Oreochromis niloticus: one gene and its partner. The protein of the gene in region 1 purifies or fractionates together with the protein of each later gene. This does not show direct contact. Links are inferred from orthologs where the notes say so. Each region holds a gene or a part of one and is shown in the gene's direction. Other genes may lie near its edges.

Region 1 (3,926 bases):
CAAATCAGAAGGCTAAAGGAAAATAACATCCCAAGTTATTATCATTATTTTAAATGTGACTGTTGCTAATGAAGCACGGGCTGTATTTTTGTGCCTGTGACCTTTTAACAAGCAGGTTTTGTTGGCTGTCTGAGCTCTGATTATTCTTTCACAGACTATTTGACCTGCAAACAAGCCCAACAGTCTGGCACTGGTGATTTATGATATTATCTTTAGACTCACAAAGACAAGGCTGTAAAACAACCTCTGATTGTCCCCTAAAAGGCACACCAGTTGATTTAAAAGAGCTGAAGGAAGTAGGCTACTTAGTACTTTACAAGTAAATATTTGGCTTTTTTTCCATCTTTTGAACTGACACCTTGAACTGATTTGTAAACCTGAGTTAGAAAGACTTTAGTGTCCGTTATTTCATCTTTTGCAACTTTCTGTTTTGTTCAGCTTATGCAGTGGAATGGTTTGTTGTGTGCACTGAATCAAAGGCCCTCGCTCCCCCTCTGCCCTCTCCACCAGGACCAGATGGTGTCTCTTTAGGCATTCTAATGAATATTGATATGAGGGGTCTTAGTTAACAACAGGGGGGAGGGTGCATATGTTGGGCCAGAGACCCCCCAAAACTGGCATGTAGTAAAGGTCTGTGGTGAGGGGAGTGGGTGTGCAGGGGATTTATATCTGAAGAAAAGGAACGTTTGCAACTTGCAACAAACCTCCTTTCATATGCCCGTAAGCTCTCTCTTGTCTCATATTGGTAAGATATTAATATGGATTAGACAGTGATGAGACTGAATTAGTTGCCTGGGTGATGTCATCCAGACACTTGAAGATGAGATGCAGAGCAAAGATGTGGTGCAAAGTGTGACATGGCATAAATTTGTAAGACGGCAAGATGACAAAGGTGAGGTGAGCAGGAGCGCAAGGTGAGGAGATGGACAGGTTAATCTGGTGACAGAGTTAATCCTCTGGCACGGCTCCCAGGTTTAAAGCTCCTGAACGCCTCTGTGTATTCCAGCCTCGGCTCACCACACTGAGGCTGAACCACCGCCAGCACCCCGGGCTGGGCAGTCTGACCCCGGGGCACTGGGGTGCAGATTTCTTAGCTCCACTTTTATTTTACCAGTGCCAGGATTCCTGTATGTGGAGGGATAGCAGGTGAATGATTGAAGGTAATTGCATTACTACACTCCAGCTGGTGCAGGCCAGCTGTAGCCCCCTGCTGTGACCCTGTTATTGGGGAAAAACACCCATTCAGGGGGCAAGAGAATCAAAGTGCTGCATCTTCACCAGCAGGAAAGCAATCCCAGGATGCAGTACTGATCGTTTGTTTGGAACCAAATCCACATTAACTGAGTTGTCCTGAAGCCGTGTTATATTTCATACCCTCTGCAGTTTGTCAGGAAACATTAGCAGGAACTCATCCGCAGACAGATGATGAACTGAGGCGCTGTCAGCTATTTATAACTCAAATTAGACTTTGTTAGATATAAGGCTAAAGGGGCAGGCAGGAAGAAGGAAGAACTATAGAAAGATGTAAAGGAGGCGAGATTGGCAGAGACAGGCAGGGGAGTGAGGGTACTGGGAAAAAAGTGATGCAGGGAGACATAAGAGAATAAAACATACAGAACACTGGAACGGCGTAGCTTTTCAGCATGAGGACACAACCTTTACTGTCAAATGCAGCCCCCGTAGCCCTTAGATAATGAGACACAGTGTCAGACACATGCATACTGCTGAAGGCTTCCAGTAGGGATGTAGACGCTTCAAAACTTTAGATTATATCAGTCACCAAGCGGGTAGTTTTAGCTTTTGTATTTGTGATAGTCAATATGGAAACCTACAGTACAAGCTGTAGAGTCTTCAGTAGAATATGCAGAAATTAGCTCTTATATTGGAATATTTTTCATGGGTAGCTTTGTTTTAATTAACACAAGGAAGCTTTAACTGGGTTTGCACTGGTGGAGTGTGTGCACAAAGCTCCGCACGTGTCTATCTATACTGAGTGAAGTGGGGGCTGGTCGCCTCCTGAAAGCCAAACTTTGACAGCCGTCTTGCTGGCGGGAGGGGTTCATCATTTGACAATGGGGAGGGAATAGCAATGGAGGGAGCCTGTGTGTGCAAAATAGACACGAGAGAGAGAGGGAGCAGCGGGGGAAGGGAGGAGGGTATCAGACTCGGGGATAAGGCAGCTGGGCTGAAAGCAGATCTCATTGTGCGCTTGTCCTTCCCAAGTCCCTCCAACTCTCTGCAGAAGCACCTGCGATCACTGCTGTCGAGCTCTGCAGTCGAGGCATGCGGATCTCAATCGCAGGTCAAATTGACAGAAGGACGACTTGTTAGACTCTGTTTTGCTTTACTCTGGCGTTCTGAGTTTGGGTTTTGTTATGGCGCTGGTGTAGGCATGGTTGTCTACTTGAGGAAGAGCATCCACTCTCTGCTGTCCGTCTTCAAGAAGAAGGGTGAGTGCCGGCTCACGTGGAGGCTGCAGTAAATCTCTTTAACTTTGCTGTGATTGATTGTTTAACCAAGCTTTTTATCATACTAAATATACCTGCAAAGCAAGTACTGTTTTTAATTTCCACTGACATCTATCTCAACAGTTCACAAACACAGACACACCGATGTGTAAGAATTAGTGTTGAAGGTAATTTGGAGGTCCTGTCTAATGAGATAAAGCTCTTTACTGACTTTTTTGGGGGGAATCGTATTAATCAGCCCAAATCCCTAAACCTCCTGGAGGGGTCTGGCAGAGTATCAGGGAGGGCTGCTTCTTCGGTTATTTGTAGCTACTGGTTACAGTGTTACATATGTGAGTAATTGTCATGAGATGCTCACAGTTGTCAAGTGAAGTTTATAGACTAAACTAAATGTAGTCCAGACTAATTGGGAGCCAGTGGGAGTGATAAAGGAAGGAAAAGGAACACCTCACGCTGATCCTTGCTCAGCTAAGATTTTAGCAAACTTGCATGACTGATTTCCCATGGAAATGACTTCCCAGTTCATACACAGTTGTGCAGGTTTTCATGGATTTGTGGTTCAGAAACCTAGATGTAGCTGCCATCACTGTGGTTTACACCAAGAAGGCAGGAAGCCCCAATTTTATTCCACATGCCAAAGACATGCATGTTTGGTCAGTTGATTCTATGTTAGCCAAAGGTTTGTATTATTGCTTTTCTCTCTTTTTGTTTTCCTTGTGATGGACTGGCAACCTGTCCAGGGTGCCTCTTACCCAGTGTCAGCTGGGATCAGCTCCTTAGCTGTCCTTTGACGTTGAGCAAAGCAGTCCTGCGGAGAGAGCGAGCTCGGTCCAGTTCCCACACAGGAGGTCCTGCCAGCAGGGTTTCTTGCAGCATCCTTACATGCGGACAGATTATCGGCAGTAATCCCTGCAGGGTTTACAAGGAAGCAAGATACTGCAGGAGATTAGCCAGGCCATAGTTTACTGCCGAGGGCCTGGCCAGACTGGGATGTCTGCACGCCAAAGTTGGATGAGGAGATTTAATAAGTGCGCTGCATTAAAGGTGCACAGATAAACGCACATTCTTATCAGCTGGAAGTGCAAGAAGTTCTCAGTCAAGTTGATAAATGTCTGTATTTATGCTAACACCATTGCTTTCATTGGGATAGTGCAAAGAGTTGATGTCTCACTATTGTTTTAATTCTGAATAATTCTGGATCAATGCTGTTGCCAAAATTCGTAGTTCTGATGTTAAAATATGTGTGAATAAAGGTTCTGTCACACAATAGGGTTCCACAACAAAATGTTCCACTAAAACAAATTGGTAGGTACTCGATATAACTCCAGTTCTGTGAGTGTGTAGCAGGGGCGATTCTAGGATCAGAGCTTTGGGGGTGCTGAGCACCCAGAGAGCTGCCCAGCCAGGCAAGATAAACTTTACACATCACGCTGAGACTTCTTCCCTGTCTCTTTCAGT
Region 2 (3,926 bases), on another chromosome or scaffold:
ATGTCTTTTAAGGATGAATAATTGAAATAACTTTCTAATTTCTCTGTGATGTTGCTCATATATGTATCACCTTTATCATTTAGTGCCGTTTAAAAATAATTAAATATATGTATTTCACACAACTGCATAACAAAGTAATCAAATGCCACTCATGTTATATTATCAGTTAACTAACTAGATGTGTAACCCAGCACACAAATATTCAGACTTACCTCGGGTGCAAACATGGTTTCATATGTTGGGTTATAAGTGACTTCTTTCAGAGCAGGGTCCAGGTGTATGCCCGTCTCAACAGCCTCCTAAAATCGGGATTCGAACAATGAGCAAACGAGCTTCTTGATAAATGAGACATGCTCTAGGTTGGTAATTCGCATGTTTTGTTTAACACAATCACAGGTGAGATTTAACTAGTACAGTGTAAGATACATGAAGTTGGACCTTAAGTTACACAGAGATCAATCAGTGTGTATTTTTTTAGAATTAGCTCAGGAGTAATTCTCCGGCCTGCATAAAATTTCCCCAAAGATTACAACACACTTAGCGGAATCTTTCCCGCTTAGTACTACTAGAACAAATCTGTAATTTTAGAAAATAAATAACTTCTAATTACAACACCATATTTCCACAGTAATTTGAATAACCTTTATTATTATGAGCATAACAAGTAAGTAAGCCAGAGTTACTCCCAATAATCTAATTATAAAGTGAGGTTAACGTTAGCTGCTTAGCTTAGCTTACCTTGACAGCGACCTCAGGGGCAGAATTTAAAACAGCCAGAGACATACTGTTCTCCGACTGCAACGGTTTAAGGTGAGCCGTAGCATCCGGATCGACTGGGTTCACTTTTTCAACACTTGTATTAGATTCAGACTCATTTTCTGAATCGGAATCACTGCCGTATGAAACGAGGGAAGCTATGGCTGCAGACATCTTGGATGTTGTGAATGCGGCGGAAGCAGAAGGGCGGTACTTCCGTTATAGAAATGAAGAAAGAATTTATAGATAATTTATTATTCTCTAGAATTAAGAATTTAAAGAGCTATAGCATTGCATCTTATACGTATGACCGGAATTATTAACTTAAAATTATTAATTCATTACATTCATTAAATAATGTATTAATTTATATATTTTGAAGACATTCATAAAACAGATATTTCAGTAGGCTAGAATATTACTCATATACGTATTACTTTGCTAGAATTAGAATTATTACAATTAACATTTTTAGGCAAAACTACCAAAATTATGGCCGCAGTTTGTAAAATGAGACGAAATACTAACAAGGCAGTATTTTGTTTTTCAAAATAAACAGTCAGTATGTTGTTTAATGTGTTGTTGTGAATATATTGATTCACAGTGTGATTTTATTTTCTCTCCAACTGTAATGTTTGAAATAATCAAAATCAGTGTCCCTCCCTGAAATCGATTGGACAGCACAACACCACGGTTTGAGATAATAAGCCAATACCGCGAACGCGCACGAGCCTCCCACGAGTACACATCAGCAGCATGGGACGTTTTCTCGCGCCCCAACAATAGAGTGGTACGTACCATTATTACCGATTTCAATGGGGACGTTTTCTTGTGGATATACGTAATTTCACACTACTTCTCTTAGAAAGAAAACAAATGTCGCATACGGGTAAAATACAAAGTGGTTTTATGACGCGAAACCTGATGTAAGCTTAACCGGACTAGCTTTATTGGCAATTTAATCAACATTTGCCCAGAGAATCCCTTTGGAAAAAAAGTGGCTGGATTCATCTCCGCCGCCGCCTCTTCCAGCAGGAGTACATTTGATTACGGAGACAGTACAACCATGGATCCGACCCGGGGATTTAAATTTTTGGACACGGTGGCACACTCTGCTGCTCAGTAAGGATGGAGAGAAAATAAGAGGGGTTTTTTTTCTTCTTACAAACGTATCAGGTAAATAATTTCTTTTTAAATTTTGCACTGCAGTGCATCATTTAACTGCAAAATGGGACTTTAGTAACGTTATGTTATCGCTATTAGCACAGCAGCAACTTATCGTCATAAAACCGAGTCACCGTGTTGTAACATTAGACTTAAACTGGAGCTGCTCGACTAATAACGGTCTTGGTAATTCAAAACTGCCTGGCCATCACTGACTCCCACGTTTACCCGATGTACAGTTGACAAATGTGGCAATGAGAACAACGCTAGGCTACCAAAGTGGTCAAAATCCCACAAAGTAGCCTACCAGTAGTATTTTTATTTTTGAATGACTAAAGGAGGAATTGGTAATGGGACCGCTGGGTGATAAATTGCAGCTTGCAGCTGCACATCTGCATGAGATCCCGCTGCAGCGTCTTGACATAGTGAGTCTGAAGAATATCACACTAGTGAGAAAAGCAGAGAGCAAATATTTGCAATGCTCCCCAATTAACCCAACGTGGATAAACTAATAAATAAAAAGACGTAGAGTGTGTTTTATTTGTTAGCGAGCTTGTGGAGTGGGCAGTTTGCTACAGTGTGATGAAGGGAACCACGGACACCGGCAGTTAATTTTATAAGAATGCATTGATTTGCCTCTGCGAGGCAGAGGAGGAGGACAGGGGTTGGGGTCTATTCCAGCCAGCTTCGTTTGCAGTCATGGGGGGATGGTAAGCCTTCAGCCCAGTGAAAATCATGCTGTGTGAAATCCGAAACCTTCTTTGTACTACTTCAAGTGCAACAAGAAAAGTGGGCACGAGGGGCATCGTCGCTTTGTGACCGCTGTGCAGTGATCAGCTTTTATATGTAGTGACAGCACGAATATGTGCTTTGATACACAGGAGGCCGGCTAATATGGGCTTTGCACTTCATCAAAGTGAGCATATTTTTTCCACAGCCTGTCCAGTTGAGACAAACTAAGAGTTGGGTCTTTGGATGCTGCAGGTAACTATTGCCTGCTGAGTGGCCAGCAGCATATTTCATGGTTTGCCTCTTTTTAAAATGCAATAGTAAAGGTAAGAACAGCCTGTAGTGACAGTGTGGGTTCAGCTCTGTGGTCGATGATGAATTAATCACCTTTAGAAACATCAGCTGCAGAGCTATTGATAAAAATCCATGTATGCCACTGTGGATGCTGCTTCTGACAGTGGATTAGTGTGCCTCTAATGTGTTAAAATAACAAATACGGGAGCGAGGCAAACTAGGGTTTACATGTGATGTGCAGGAAATTAATAATTATTCCTTTTTCCCCCTAATAAATAGTGAGGTTAAAAAAAAGAAAGAAGCTATTTATCCTAGAAGGCTAGACATCTTGTCCAAATCAACAAATGCAGAGCTCTCTACACTCACATTGCCTTGGCTGTGATTCAGTGAAATGCATAAATAAGACTTAATTCCTTGATTTGATCAGAAGCTGCATTAATAATTAATGCAAATAGAGAAGATGTTGATGCACAGACTCTTTCCAGATGACCTTAAATATTTCCCTGTTATATCAAATTAGCCCACATCAAACACTTTTAATGCTTCTGGGAGATATATATATATATATATATATATATATATATATATATATATATATATATATATATATATATATATATATATATATATATATAACCATTAGTGAGATGCCTGGTAAATTTCTTGACACAAGCTTTATTTGTCAGTATCAGAAATATTTCTGCTCAGGGAAAAAATTTAGGGAAAAAAGACATTTGGCTACAATCAGTGAATACCCACCTAGCTCCACCTGAAAAAGACTTTATGGGCCAAGAAGATCTGTGATGGTCCTGTATGATGACTGGAGCAGAAGAGCTCAACTTCAAGAGAAATACTACTTTAGTCATGTTCTGGTCAACTGTATGTGACCGGAACTGAGGAAGAGTAAAATTTACAGTAGTGCAGTGAATGTCACCAAGACCGAACCCTTGCTCCAGATGAATGGATATCTTTTGAAAACATTA

What was found.
Region 2: the proteins of nhsl3 (region 1) and wasf1 purify together in Homo sapiens (affinity purification with mass spectrometry; 3 studies listed by BioGRID and IntAct, with this or other methods). This does not show direct contact. The link is inferred for Oreochromis niloticus from reciprocal best matches to the Homo sapiens genes NHSL3 and WASF1.

What each region holds. Positions count from the first base shown.
Region 1 is NC_031985.2:28,095,141-28,099,066, forward strand, and holds the start of nhsl3 (NHS-like protein 3), read left to right. Parts: upstream 1-1,144; 5' UTR 1,145-2,089; coding exon 2,090-2,450; intron 2,451-3,926. UniProt on the Homo sapiens protein: Able to directly activate the TNF-NFkappaB signaling pathway.
Region 2 is NC_031980.2:10,623,601-10,627,526, reverse strand, and holds the start of wasf1 (wiskott-Aldrich syndrome protein family member 1), read left to right. Parts: upstream 1-1,448; 5' UTR 1,449-1,546; intron 1,547-1,563; exon of another isoform or gene 1,564-1,932; intron 1,933-3,926. Other genes in the region: cdc40 (pre-mRNA-processing factor 17), read right to left, coding at 213-299, 739-930.